Linked DNA regions of Alligator mississippiensis. The protein of the gene in region 1 purifies or fractionates together with the protein of each later gene. This does not show direct contact. Links are inferred from orthologs where the notes say so. Each region holds a gene or a part of one and is shown on either strand. Other genes may lie near its edges.

Evidence for each region. Proteins that work in one complex are often made in the same cells at the same time.
Region 2: the proteins of EWSR1 (region 1) and DDX17 purify together in Homo sapiens (affinity purification with mass spectrometry; 3 studies listed by BioGRID, with this or other methods). This does not show direct contact. The link is inferred for Alligator mississippiensis from reciprocal best matches to the Homo sapiens genes EWSR1 and DDX17.

What each region holds. Positions count from the first base shown.
Region 1 is NC_081833.1:26,356,211-26,363,907, reverse strand, and holds the start of EWSR1 (RNA-binding protein EWS), read right to left. Parts: upstream 3,030-7,697; 5' UTR 2,941-3,029; coding exon 2,928-2,940; intron 1-2,927. UniProt on the Homo sapiens protein: Binds to ssRNA containing the consensus sequence 5'-AGGUAA-3'. Might normally function as a transcriptional repressor. EWS-fusion-proteins (EFPS) may play a role in the tumorigenic process.
Region 2 is NC_081827.1:99,531,938-99,539,715, forward strand, and holds the start of DDX17 (probable ATP-dependent RNA helicase DDX17), read left to right. Parts: upstream 1-4,675; 5' UTR 4,676-4,877; coding exon 4,878-4,930; intron 4,931-7,778. Other genes in the region: DMC1 (meiotic recombination protein DMC1/LIM15 homolog), read left to right, coding at 1-64. UniProt on the Homo sapiens protein: As an RNA helicase, unwinds RNA and alters RNA structures through ATP binding and hydrolysis.

The DNA.
Region 1 (7,697 bases):
TTCAAAATTTAGCTAAATAAGCATATTATGTTACATGTCTACCTTTATTAATTCCCCCTTTCAATTTACTAGAACATGTGGACTTGTCAAAACAAACAAATCACCACTAATTTAGCTAAACCTTCTCTGAAACTTTTATTTCTAATAGAACCTGAATCTTCTCTCCTGTTCTGTTATATAAGGCTTATCAGTACAATGGTGGTATGCTACAACAGCACCTCCACAGAAAGAACAATTTCATTTATTAAGTAGAAAAAAAGGCCTTTAAAAAGATCTGACAATTTATTTTATGAGTTAAGGTAGCGTTAATCAGTGACACTTTCCTTGAAAGTCCTTTTCATTCTGGGAAAATCCAATCTGGTTGGGTTTAGCTTTAACTCTCGTTTAACATGATAGTCCAAGTAGCCTGACCTACTTTATAAAACTTGTGTCCATTTAGAAGGCTGACATCATTTTGTATTTTCTTCTCCCACACTTCATTGATTTTCTCCACAAAAAGAAAAAACATCTGCCAGAAGTTCCATGATGAACACAGGGAGGAAAAAACCCACTAAATACTTAATATATTCTTAAAAAAAACATGAAAAACCATTCTAATAGCAGAAAAATATGTTGAGTCTCCACTGAAAGCACCTTTACAGTACTTAATTTTAAAAACTGCAAGACTTGAGATGTTCAAATTAAAGGTGAACTAGTGCAGTAGATTAAGGCTTTCTGATGAGTCATGAGGCAACAAGAAGCTTTGGTGAATGAAGAAAGTGTGTTGGGTTTTTGTTTTATTTTTGTAGTTAGCAGCTCCCAGAATGGTCCTTCTAGTGCCAAAAATCTACTGAATTAATACTTAAACCATATTAGGGGACAGAATCATAATACTGCCTTTGTGGTTAGTGCAGCTAGGCAGTTAATCAAGCTCCCAAATGTTATCAAAAGGTGCCAGGTACAGAACTGTATTAAGGTACCAGGGCAGAATTAATCTACTACCTACACTGCATAACTGAACTATATTGTGTCATGAGGCCCTGTGACAAATATAACCTGGTTACATGTGTAGCTAGTCAAAGATAACCAGGTGCTTGCTTGAAGCAAGCAAACTGATTTTCTCCAAAGAAAAGTATTATCTATTTACCCTTCCACTGCTATGACTACACATCTACAAGTTGAATTCAAGCAACATCACTGAAAGGCATTTTTAGCAGGGTTTAGACAGCTTGTATGGATAAAACTTGTAACGACCTGATCCATGCTAAGGCATTTAAGATCCATGCAAGTCCAAAGCAGATTTACAAACACTTCAAAAAATACTGAATCCTAGCATGTACATCAGTCTCCATCTTCTCATCTACACCACTCCTGTACATAACCTGAACTTCAGCAGTCAAAGGCATATTTGCTTAGGAAAGCCCAGGCATGAAATGCTGAATGCATTTCATGGCTAAAGAGGGGGTGGGGGGAGGGGAAACAAGGTTCCTCCATTTTGGTATGTGAATTTCAATAAAAGAACTCAAAATTAGTCTAGTATTTAATATAACCAAACACTTAATCCTACTTCTTCTGTGATCCCAGCAACATCATACACTGATTAAAGGTTGCTGACATGCCAACCCTATTTTCAAAGGTGTACGCTGCACAAGATTTCTGTCATGTAATCACATCAGACTAACAGTTATTCAGCCTGTATTTTTGCTTAAATGGAACTGTAATTATTTGTATATGTATATCCCAACTCTTGCAAGAGAAAAAAAATTCAGCTGTATTCAAAAGTTGGAATTTTAACTATTTAATGCCAATTGCTCCCCTGTATTGGAAAAGGAGCAAGGATCAGAACACATTAAGGACAATTTTAAGGCAGGAAGGAAAAAGCAGCATTATAAACCTCATTTCAACACGTAACTTATTAGACATAATTTTCTTTTTGTCCAATGAAAATGTAACAGCCAGCCAGGATGAATTAGTAGATATTACTAAAGCCTGAACCTGCAGAGGGAAGCTGCCAAAGTAGTGCTGGTCCTAGCAGTCCTAATAATTACACAAAGGGATGTTAATGCAGAGACGACTTAAAGAGCACCAGAGAGGCAGCAAAAGATAAGCTGTAACTGGACCAACTCCTGGACCCTCTCCGATGAAGTCGTACAGCGAGCACCACCGACCCCGGGCCGTGGGGACCAGAGCAGCATCTGCCCCTGCACTTCCACAGGCTGAGCTGCTGCCGTCCTGGGGTTGTTCTTACCACCGCACCTGCCTGGAGCTCGGTGCCCAGCGCAGCCCTGCCCAGAGCTCTCGGCTCCAGCGAGACAAAACCTCACGGGGCCCACGGCTCCCTTTCCCCCGCCCGGGTGGGAGCCCTTGCCTGCAGGCCCCGGCGGCTCCCGATGCAGCGGGGCAGGCGCCGCCCGAGGCATCCGAGCAGCGGCCACAGGCCTGCAACCGCGGGGGGCGGGGGAGCTGCGGGGGGACGGTCAGGTGACCCGCGCCCGAGCCCAGGCGCGACGGCGGGCGGGAAGGGAGGGGGCGCGCCCCGGCCCCGAAGCAGATCTGCGCCCGCCCGCCCGGCCCGGTCACCCCCGCACGGGAGGGCGCGGCCACGGCATGGCCTGTCCCTGCGGAGGCCGCGTGGCCGGGCCGGGCCAGACCCGCCGCACGTTACACAATGGGGCCGGCCGGCTGGCCGGCCTCCCCGCGACCCCGGTCCGCCCCCCCGCGCCGCGGAACCTTCCAGAACCGCCCCCGGCGCCGGGGGGGAGGGGGCCGGTACCGGGGGAAGGGGGGGGCGCTCGGGCGGGGCCGCGGCCTCTGTCCCGCGCTCGGCCTCGCCTCGCCCCGCCGGCAGCGGGACGGCTCCGCCGCGCGGGCGCGCTCCGGGGCTGCCCTGGGTTCTCCTGGCCTGGCCTGGCCCGGCCCCGCCGCCCCGGCCCGGCCCCGGCGCTCACCCGTCGACGCCATTTTCTCTCCTTCCTCCTCGTTCTCTCAACGTCCGTCCGGGCTCTGCCGCCCGCACTGCGCATGCGCAGCCTTTCCCACCTCGGGTGCTACCACTCCGGGACGGGGGAAAGAAGCAGGAGCCTGCCTCCGCTGCGCCGGGCCCGGCTCGTCCCGCCCTGCCTGTGACGAGCCGTATGGCCCAGCCCAGCCCAGTCAGGCACCCGAAAGAGGGAACGGGAGTTGTCCTCGTGATTTACGTCTGCTGGCTCTCCCCCCAGAGGGTGTGGAATGGTTCAGTCCATCCACTTTAGGGATCGTGGCACAATAGGCGCCCCAGCCGGGAAACGTAGAGCAGGCCTCAGAGGCGGGGCTAGGGCGCTTTTGGCCTTGCAGTCGTTTCAGGCCAAGGGGAGGTTGAGTGACCTTGCTGGAATGCGTCCCCGGGGAGCGCGCGGGGGGTAAGGAGCGAGCCCTGCTCTCGGATTTGCTACCTGCCCAAATACCAGCGGTGCAGACGACGTCAACTGCTTTAAAACCTCATCAGACAGAGCCCGACATCATTGCACAGACTTGCAGCATTGCATGATGTCATGGCATGGAGCTGCTGGGCACTGGCACAAGGGCACCAACTGCAGCGTTGGGATCTGGCGTTGCATTCTCGTGGGCAATAGCAGCAGGCGCAATCCTGGCACGGTGGCATGAGGTTATCACGTGCAAGTCGTTCGCTGACATGCTGGTGAAATGCAATCACCCAGGCTCACCCGGATGTCCTCGTGTGTCAGATGTCAGCATGGTACCATCACGGAGTCACTGTTTGCTGGCATGCTGTTAGGACCAAGAATCACAGTGCCAAGGTGTCTTAATGCAGCGGGTTAATGAAGACCTTTGCCATGTATTGTGGTGCTGCATTGCCAAAATACTGATGTTACACAGACTTTAAAAGCAATCCAGGGATCTGTGACTCAGGGCAGAACAATTTTACATTGTCCAGGACAGGTGACTGTGACAACTTTACAGGTTACCTAGAGTGCAACACACTTAATCTTTGAGGCCAAGCCTATACTCTCTTCACTATTCCAGATTTGTGCCATATAAAAACCTTCCCGCGAGGTAGTTGCATAATTAGACTAAAAGTAAACCATTTTGCTGACTTTCCATCCTTTCTAGCAAAGGTGTCAACAGTATAAACTTAAATATGTACAGTATAGGGGCACCCAAACTTCTGTCTTCCACACTTCAAAATCCACATCATTCCCAGCTCTTACTGTGCATCTCACGTTAGCATTTCTGTTCAATATTTATAAGCTGGATACTTTAAAAGCTGCAAGTAGTAGAAAGTAGATTATCTAGTGGCAGATGTCAAGATCAGCATGTCCCCCATGCCTAGATATTTGATTACCCTAATCACTGCCACTCTATATCTTCAAGGGATTTTCTTCACAACCTGAAAGGAGAGAAACCAGTTCTTATTAAACTAAAACTTAAATTCTGTAGATAATTCATTATCCTCAGAAAAGAGCTTGCTGACTCACCCATGTGTTGGGCAGGAGATGAATTCCCACTCAGAACTGTGGACTGATTTGTTTAAAAAAGCTGACATGCCAACAGAACCAAAGACTGCTACCAGTGTATCTCTGCCTTCCCTTTGTGTTATCATATATGTATGTGCAATCCAGGTACAAAGTGCCAGCATAAATGAGAACAGCAAAGGAGCAAGGCCATGGAGAAGCAGGCCTCAGGGCCCAGTTTCAGCCCTGATGCAAGTTCTTATTGATCTAGGTTTGGAATCAAAAGTTCAGGTAACCACAGTAACTTAAGCCAAAGCACTCCAAATTTACACTGACTTGAACCTAACAGGTGCAGCTTAATGTGAACTATTTAGTTTCCAATTCAAATTTGGAGAGCCTAAGCCTACCTCAAGGAGCCTCTGCTACCAAGTAGGGATTTGCTTCTCTGGAGCTTGTCTTTACAACAGTAAGAAATTGCTATCTCAAGCATTCTTCCTCTAGCAGAGTTTTGTTATGTAATTTAGGTTGCAGCAAGTTAATGGATGAAACAGTAACAATAATGATACTTAGTAATTTCTTAGTATTTCTAATACTTAATGTTTGTGTGAAATGTCATTGATCTGTCCTCAGAACAGCCAGGCGTGGTCAAGTGAATTATTTTTTTCAAATGGGGAAACTGAGGCACAGAATGGGAAAGCAACTTTGATGAGAAACAAGAAGATCTTGTCTCTGAAGTCTGAATACATCTACTACATTGCACTGACTCCTGTTGTCAGGAGGTTTGGGGAATTCTCGTATGTGATTCTTGAATTATCACTGTTACAGTTACAAGGCAATTTATACCCAATGATAATAGGACTAGTGCTGACCTCTAACTGCCTCCAAGGCATTTAAGATGCATGAATAAAGTTTTAGAATTGTTAATATAATTCCCTGCTTGGCAAAAAAAAAAAAAAATCCTGAAGGGAAATAGCTTGCCATCAGTTACTGCCAAATTTGGGAAATGTCTTTTAATGAAAGAAGATTCCAAGCAGGCCCCTTTGGGACAACAGAACAAGGTATTTGGAAGGTCTCATTAACGCTCACTCCCACATGATTGTTCATTCCCCTTCTAGCTCAGAGAGAGGTGAATCAAATTTTCCTGCCTAGGATGAAGGAAACTGATCCTAAAACTCATACACAGGTAAGCTGGAAAAATGTTTGTTGGACAATCTTAATTATTCATTCATTCTCCTCCAAAAGTCTCATGTCATCTGCATCCAACCACCAGTTGCCACAATAGTAAAAAATGTCAAAGATCCACCCAAGTCTAGAAGCATGTTAGCTTCTGTAGCCGGTGGCACACACAGTAGTGAAGTGGTTAGCAACATGTCTGGTTGCCTTTGATTCTCCAGCCTGAATGACCAGGTGCCTGCTTGAACTCATGCCTCTGGAGATGTATCAAGACTCCTTAACCACTTAGCTACCATGTCCCAGCTATTACAGCAATAGTGGTCAGCTAAATTATTTAGTTATTACTTAGATCATCCATGAGGTGAAAATGTACCCTGCCTTCTGCATGACTTCAGACTAACATGGCTAACTACCTCTTTCAATTCTATTATTATGCACCTATAAAAGAATGGTGTGGCCCATCTGTAGAACACTGCACAAGCTCTGGTCACCTGTGCAAGAGCCTGGCTAGTGGTAAAGGAAGAAGAACACAAGGAACTCAGGGATGTCAAACAACAGTGGGCATGTCTACACATGTATCAATGCGCTGTAATTACTGCACATTAAGTTTAATACCTGAACAGGCACTAAATACACAGTAATAAGCACTACTACGCAGTAGCACCAATGCATGTCAATTAAGTGAAGCTAATGTTCAGAAGACTAATTCTACTCTGCATTAGCAGTTTTCACTGTAATGCACAATAGAATCAGTCTACTGCACTTTTAGTATTTCATGTAGACGTGCCCAGTGTGGAAAACACAGCAGGAAGAAAAAAAGAATTGTAGGTCACTGACCCTGAGTAACTACCATTGCCTGGGTATTGCAGCACCATCCCACAATGCACTGCAAAAGTGCCCTGCACTGCATTTCATTGGAAGGTGGTACCACTGGGATACCTACCCTTGGTGCAGTTTGGCAATAGCCAGCACAACCCAAAGGCTGAAGACACGGCACCAACCTGGGCACTCAAGTGCGTGTGCTCTCCAATGACATAATAGTATTGGCTGTTGTAAGCCAACATGCTATGGTGGCCCATCTTTAGTGCAGACCTGGCCTAAGTCCATCTACCTGCCAGTATAAGATTGTTCCCTAGTGGTCACAACATCGGACTGGAAGTTCTTGTCTCTGCTCTGGTTTGAAGCATCTACTCTTTAGACTGACAAGGTTCTTTGGGTAAATGTGATATCTTATTAGAGCAACTAAATAGTTGGAAAAAATGTTCTTTGCAAGCTTTGGATACAAACACCCTTCTTCAGGCAGAGGGAGAGTCAGGTGTTTGTACCTGAAAGATGCAAAGAATAATTTTACCAACTATTTAGTTGGTCTAATAAAAGATATCATATTTACCCAAAGAACCTTGTCTGCCTATGTCCTGAGACCATCATGGCTACAACCAACACCCATGAAATGTAGAAGATACTCCTTAGACTGGCATAACGTGCTCAGTTACTTCAGATGGATACCATGGGAGCTGATCCAAAAATCACTGCCGTAGCTTTCTGCTTCATATCCACTCCGCTCCCACCCCCTTGCCCCCTCCCAACATGCACACAGTCTAGTTAAGCAAGGAGCCTCTCATGACTTTGTTTGCACTTGTATTCATCAGGAATTCTTCCCCCAGTTTCATACAGCTGTGTGTGTGACAGCAATAACATGCGTCAGAAATTGAACTGGGGTCATACCTGAATATGGGCTTAATTCCTGCTTTCCCTGAACTGCCCTCTTATACTCTATAGGATCTCAGCTTCCACCAAGGAAGTCTCTGTCCCTTGTGTCTATAAAAAAACTTCAAAGTGATGCCTGGTCCCTAAAACAGTGATTCTTCCTCGAGTCTGTCAAGGACCTGAAAGGGTGGAGTAGTGCAAATGGCTCCAGTCACCTCAGTGAAGATTTATCTTAGAGGTCCAATGATTGTAGTTTAAATTTAATTGCAGCTCACTACTTCGCTGCTAGAACTGAGCAGGGAAAGAGCAGTCCTACAGATCCAAGGATAGGAGAGTGGGGGTGCTCAGTACCAACCTCAGGCTTCTTTACTGAGCAGCCTGCTGGCCTCC
Region 2 (7,778 bases), on another chromosome or scaffold:
GATGCCTGAAAATGAAGCCACGTTTGCCATAACTACTGGAGGAATTGGGGATGCCAAAGAATAAGCAGAAACCTGGCAAAAATCTCCATCTGAAAACCGCCCAGATAAAGCCAAAGTATCCAAGGTTACTGACTCCCTGATTACTTTGTATTTTTCAGGCTCAGTTTTGGATATTTAGAATTGGGAGCACACTAGAAAGTTATTAGAAGATCATATTTCAATGATCTAAACAGGAACTGGTTCATGTTATTTCTTTTTTTTAAATGAAATTTGCAGCACTCAGAAATTTACAAAGCAAAGAAACTTGTGACTCGTTCAAGAAATGTCTTCTTTAGGGTTTGTGAGAAGTAAAGCTGTTTTATCTTATGGGCTTAATGGGACCTTTCATAGTTTCTTGGAAAGAGAATGTCTGTGAGATAGGGTGTACACAGCATGGAATAAAACAGCATTGAAACAAACATGGTTTAAAAAAATGAGTGGTTAATACATAGAGGGGAAATGTAGTAGACAGCAACAGGAATACAGGAACTTGCTAGATCTCATTGAGAATAGAAGAATGATAGTTACTTGAAGACAATTTTTAGAAATTTTAATCTTGATTAATTAGTGATTTATTTGTATTTAATTCTGTTTTAGAATATTTAACAATGTTATGTATTTTCATGTTAATGGAAAATACCAAATTAGAACATCTCTTCCCTATGCTTGTGTGCAATACATATACTTTAAGTCAAAACCTGATCACCTGAACTGGCCTATTAACTTTGTTGTGAGAACTTCAGTGGGCAAACTAAACAGGATGTAGCCCAATATTTCAAATAAATAAGCAGAAAACAAAATGTGTAAATTAAAGAAACAGTCCATGTTTAACACTTTGAGGGATTTTTAGCACCTAATAGCAAACCCTCTTTGCAGCCAAAAAAAGAGCCGAATGGGAAGCCAACTTTAGCGCCTGGCTTGAGGGTTTCTGTTCACCGCTAAAAAGGTGCATTTTTAACAGAGTAATTGAAGTACAAGTGCTATCATAAGGCAAAAGCACAGAGATGACAAATCACTTTAGTCTTACTGCAAGGAACTCATTGTGGTTGACTACTCTTTCTTGATGTTGACTTCAATGTATTTGCTTCGCAGTGAGACTACAGTGCGTCCTCTTCACTATAGTATTTACCTTGTGATAGGTCATAGTCATCAATTATTTTGAGGCAAGAAACAAAACTTTTTAAAAAGTTAAGTCAGATCTAGAGAAAAAATAAGGCATACCCTTTTCATGACTTGCTCAGTCAGTCGTTTCCTGACTTTTTCAGAGTGAAAAGAGAGAGATTATTTTATAAACCATTTCTCTTCCCATTCACAGTTACATAATACCTATGTGGCAACACGAACAATTACTTCTTTTTAGGAAAGGAACATTAGAAATATATATAATGTATGGTTTGAATTCTTTAAATGCAGTTCAGGGAAGGCTGCCAGCATCATGTGACCAGTAGATGACAACACACATCCTAAAACACAGGATAAAAGAAGCCCCAGCTTAATGCCAAAGAGGCATCCCTTTGAGTATAACATTGCAGATAGTTTAGATAACTTCTCTATTAAAATGTGGACTCAACCAGAAAACATTTGAGAACCCCTTAGCTACACAGTTTGATCACAAAGTGGACAAAATATAAGATCTTGACATCATATACAAATACTGATGATCAATCAAGAATTTAATAAATGTAACCTGGTCTAGCATGAATTTAAATACCAGGCAGGCCACTCACCTATGTAGCACATAAACAAGCAATAAAATAAGCTTTAATACACGAGAAAAGTGTATTTCCCACTGTTTTATGGATGGGTCAGGGAATAATCTTCAAAATCGCTCTCAGATTTAATCATAGTTCAATTAGTTGTCAAATAGGAGGTAGGCCCATTTTTAGTCTTGAGGAATACCTGACTATTGAATAAAATGATTTCAGTGGAGCATCAACTATTTGGGAAGTCAGTTAACTAGAAAGTGTTGTATTAACAAAACCACCAGTCCACAGTTGGCTTGCTTGTCGGTGAGACAACTGTGTATTGTTTACTAACTAATGTTCTGAGATCTTTAAGCATTACATAATACCATACGTTCATTCCTTGATTTTTTTTTTTAGCTTACTACACAGAACAGTAATTAAAGTGCACTTCATATTGTGGTGTTTGATTATCTAGGACAGGGGCCAAAAGATAAGGCTACCTGGCTGCATCTGGCCTGCAGAACTCCATCATCCAGCTTCCAGTGCTGCTCCTGTGTCCAAATTAACCCATATAGTGCATGCCAGACCGGCCCTGCACATAAGGCCTGGGATGCGCACCACATACCATGCTGGCTTCAGGATCTGCGCTATACCTGGTGCCAGCCCCAGCTCATCCAGTACTGTGCCACACAGGTTCCCTTCCTCTCCCACTGCCTTGTGTCTTCCCCAGCCAGTCCAGGATATGCACCACACACAGTGCAGTCCTAGACCAGTGGTGTGGGCACCGCGTACAGCATGGATTGTGGACCAACTGGACCAGATACCACGTGTGGTACAGATTCCAGACCAATGCCCGGGGGAGGGGCCACCGTGTGCAGCGCAGATCCTAGAACAGACACCGTGGGTACTGGTCTAGTATGGGGGTGAGGGGAGTTCACGGGTCCAATCCTGCAGGTGGACCAGCCCCATGCCACTCATCCAGCCCACGCTGCCTGTTGAGTTTGACACCCCCATCTAGGAAAACTGATTATCCAGAATTATAGTGACACTAATCATTTGGGATAACTGAAGTTCTATTGTATTTGTTTGCAACATCTTTTGTCAGCTTTTACAAAAGTAAGGGCGTAGTATTTGTGTAGGCCAGATCCTCCCTTCTGTGAGCGGGCAAAGACTTCTGCAAAGGACAAGAAACTCACTCTGGATATGTTGTGGGGCAACAAGGCTGCAAAGAGCAGATGTCTCCTAGCGCTCCACCATGCCTTAAAAAAGTGTTTTTTTCTGTGGTTGATATGAAACTGCAGAGCTGATATTACTCCTTCCAGTTCCCCCAACTCTCACACACCTGCCGGGCTTCACAACTTCTACTTGCTACGGCCAAGAGAGCATTGGGCTTTGTGAAGCTACAAGAATCAGAGAAATCCAATACTGTAAGCAACATTAATTTCAGTTACAAACCTATGAAATCCTATTGATTTCAGTGGAATTACACATCTATGACTGAAAGCAGCATTTAACCAATCACTATTACTAGGTTTAACACTTCAAAACATTATCTGACTAATCTCTTTTAAAACATAAACCAGTTAGATGCAACAGAACACTTTTAAGTAGAGCCAGTTCTAGCAGAGACTAAAATAACTTGGATCGTTTATTTTAGCAAAATGGAGGCTGAAAGGATTTGTTTAATCTGTATAAATACATGATAAGGGGGCAGGTAGGGAAACACTTTAAACTAAAGGGCAGCCTTGGTACAAGAGCAAATAGGTATAGAGGGCAAATAAATTCAGTTTGGAAACCAGAAAACCCTAACAATTAGTATAATCTAATTATGGGGCCACTTGGAATTATGGGATGGGGGGGGAGAGCTAATTTTAAAACGGCCCTTGAACAGTGTATATGCTACTGGTGCCGCAATAGGAGGGGGCTCCTCCACTCAACCCTGGAGACTCGGTCCTAGCATATTGCAGAGCATGGCACGGAGAAACATCTGGGCAGTCTAACAGTGCCCTGCACATTATCACTTCACGTAGCTTTTGCCCAGGTTGTCGCGAACGATTCGGAGAACTGCCGGGCCTGCACAGAGGCACATTCATTTAGTCCGGCAGAATCTCTGTCTGCTTTCCATTTCCTGGAAGCAGGGGAAGAGCGAGCGTCATGGCTGCCCCCCGCACTGCACCACGATCGCTCCTGGGAGGCCTGCAGGCCAGAAGTGCAGGCTCGCGCAAGGCCCTGCCTGCTGGGCAGACACGCCGAGCTCGGGGCGGGCTGTGACACTGGGCAGGGGACGGTCTTCCGGCTGCAGAAGAAAGCCGCACAGGGAGACCCCCACCAAGCGCCGCAGCTCCAGCCGCAGCAGACACGGGTTATTGTCTCCGCAGTGCAATGCGGCCTCCTGAAGCTGCAGCCCGCTAAGGCAAAGGGCCTTATTCTTCAACCACGATACGCTGCACCCTGTACGTGGTTTTACTGCCCTTTCCCTCCTGCCCCGCTCCGTTGCCGGCTGAGCGAGACCCGCTGAAAAATTTTACGCAAAATGGACGGCACTTCCTTCCCGCAGCACCTCCAACTCAGAGCCAGCGGCCGCTACACAATCTTCGTACGCCTCGTCCTTACGTAACGTGCCGCTCGGCCAGAGCCGTCTCCCTGCTTCATAGCTAGGTTGTGCGATTGGCACTTTGCGTAGCCGACTTTTAGGAATAGGGAGAACGTTACCTTCCTACGCGAGGCTCTCACTCCGCCGGAGAACCCTACGTCACTTTCTTAAGGGGCCTGTTGTTCTGGCCCGCTTATTCGCAAGGGGCCGCCTGCGTACTCGGAATTCGAGAATAGGCGCTGCTCCTCGGACACGTAGCCTACGTAATGTTCGGGCCGCCCTTAACGTAAGCTGAGCGGGCTGGAGTGGCGGCGGCCATTTTGTGCCGGGAGTCCGGAGAAGGAAGACGCTCGGTGTCCGCGCCCAGCGGGCCCCGCCGTGCCCCGAGCCTTCCGCGGCCCTCGCCAGCCGGTCCCGGCAGGGTCATTCTCTTGCTGCGAAGCCGCTCTTCCCCCCTCGGGAAGCCAGGCGGCTGCCGCCCCGCCGCCGGGATACAGCAGCCGTCGCCGCCCGCCGCGCCGCCCTCCCCTCGCGCGCTCAGCCCCGCTCCCCCCGGCACCATGGACTCCATGCGCAGCTTTGGGGACCGCGGCCGCGACCGTGACCGCGGAGGGTGAGTTTCTTCCCCTCCCCCATCGGGGCCCGCTAGCGGGGAGTCCCCCCCCCCCCCCCCGGCCTGGTGTCCTCCCCCCGGGTCCCCTCGCCTTGGGGGGGGGGGCTGCAGCCTTCGGCCCTGGCCTCGCTCCGCATGGCAACGCCTGGGTGCCCCAGGGAGCCCCCGCCTCTGGGGAAGTGCTCCGAGAGGGTCATGTGGGGCGGCCCGACCAAGCCCTGCTGGGTGACCCTGTCTGCGACTGTGGTAGGTTGTAGGGACTCTCCTAGACGTGGGGAGTAGCTCCCGGTTCAGTCTCCAGCCTGCATCTCTTTCGGCAACCAGGATCTTCTCTGCAAAGGCCACAAAACATTTTGATCCCCTTCTCGTGCAGCTCCCCAGGTCTCGCTTCTCCTGGGACCCAGCTCAGTGTGAGGAGAGTTGGTCTCGTGATTATTCACAACAATCTGGTACCTCCAAAATACTTGATAGGAAATGTGCGAACAAACCCGAATTACCTGGGGAAGGGAAGGGAATTGAAGCAGGACAGTGGTTCTACTGTAAATCTCCACAGAAAGTTAAAACTGCACATAAAATAAGTTTAAATGGCATATAAGAACTTGGCTTCTGAGAAATGAGGAAACACCTTTATTTTTCCTTCCTTGAAAACTGAAGACTGGGGGGGGCGGGGAGGGGGGTGTAGATTGGTAAGAAGGAAATGAATGGCCTGCTTGCTACACTTGCGTTTACTTTCTCCTCCTGCCTTGGTGAGATTCAGGGGATTTTTTTTTCTTGTGTACATTGAAGTGCTTATTAATGTTATCTCCCTCAGAAGAGTAGGGGGAGCACAGAGCTGCACTCTCATTTTATGTTTACATTCTCCACACACATCTTCAGAAATGAAAAGATCCTTTTAGTTACTTGACAGAGAAGCAGGCCTCAGTGTTTTTCCACTCTGAGCTTTCCAGCTGGTTCAAGGCAAGGACATTGGGGTAAACACATCTGCAAGTTGTTGATAGTGGAGGCCTTGCTCTTTTTTGGAGTTGAGTGAATAGTAGTGTGCAGAATTGTACTTAAAGGGCCAGAGTCTGTATCCTTAATACACCCCATTTTGATGTATTTCCATTTGTAACCTCTTATTTGGGGTTAATTTTTTTTCTTGATTCTAAATAGGTATTTATTTTTAAGAATTCTACTTACGAGATTTATTTTTAAGCCATTGTAGGCATAGGACTCACTAATCTAGACTCTTCTGTACTTTTTGGGTATTAGACTGATATTGAAACGCTTTACTTCAATAAATGTTAGATGAGTGGAGTAATCAAAGAAAAGGTTATTTTTATTTAACTAAAATGTTCTGCACCTCTCTTATTTTGAATGCAAGCAGTTTAAAAGACTGTGAAAAGTGCAGAATCAGAAAGGGAGAACTACTTGCCCCTGCCCTCTTTTTAGGGTTCCATTCACACACAGTGTATATTAACCCTGATTTCATTCAGAGTAATCCACTTATTTTGCCATGTGTTGTAATAACAAAAAGTATTTCAGTGATGTATCTTTATGAACTTCATCTTTTAAGATGCAAAGCCATTTTTAATGGTTTGCTGTCATCAAGATGGCACAAGAGGTTTGAAAGATAACAGGCATTTCCCCCAGCAGGGTGGCCAGATTTCAGCTGGATGGTACATTTTGCTTGCTGTCAATTCCCCTTGTATGGTCAGCTGGCTATGCAAGTCTTCCTTACTTCCCATCTTGAACAAACTAGGTGACTTTTTAGGTTTGGAAGTGATGCTGTGCTGCTTTGGCACTAAATAATCTGTTATTTAATTTTGTCTTAGAGGTGGCTTCACTACAGTGGTTGACATGATAGCTGAATATTTAATATCAGTCAGTAGTGTTACTATTGAACTAGTAAAAATGTGGAATAAATCTATGCTAATCAGTAGAAGTACTCCAGGCAAATGTCCAACACGTCTGGTCCTGTGGGCCAGGTGAGTGTCATGGAGCCAGTCCATGGGTAGCATCAGGAGCATGGAGCTGCATCATCTGGCCTGAGGAGTTGAATTTGGTGGCAGTAGTCTTGATAACTATGGCTCCTGAAGCCACAGCAGCAGCTGTGCAGGCCAGATGATTCATAGGTTTCATAGGCATTAGGGCTGGAAGGGACCTTGGAAGATCATCGAGTCTAGCCCCCCGCCCAAAGGGCAGGACGTCAGCTGGGGTCATAGGATCCCAGCAAGATAAGCATCCAGTTTCATCTTGAAGGTGTTCAATGAAGGCGCTTGAACAACCTCCGGTGGCAGGCTGTTCCAGACCTTGGGGGCTCGGACAGTAAAGAAATTCTTCCTTATGTCCAGCCTGAAATGATCTTGTAGTAGTTTGTGACCATTCATCCTCGTCATCCCTTGGGGCGCTCTGGTGAACAAACGTTCCCCTAGATACTGGTGGTCACCCCTGATAAACTTGTAGGTGGCCATCAGATCACCCCTGAGCCTGCGCTTTTCCAGGCTAAAGAGCCCCAGGGCTCTCAGCCTGTCATCGTAGGGTCTGCTTCCCTGACCTCTGATCATGCGCGTGGCTCTTCTCTGGACTCTCTCAAGCTTCTCCACATCCTTTTTGAATTGTGGAGCCCAAAACTGGACGCAGTACTCCAGCTGCGGCCTCACTAAGGCCGAGTACAGGGGGAGAATGACGTTCTGGGGTTTGCTTGAGAAGCATCTATGGATGCAAGCCAGCGTTTTGGTCGCTTTACTAGCCGCAGCATCGCATTGCAGGCTCATGTTCATCTTGTGGTCAGTGATGACCCCCAAGTCTCTTTCTTCCATAGTGCTAACCAACATAGCACTGCCGAGCCTATAAGGATGCTGTGGGT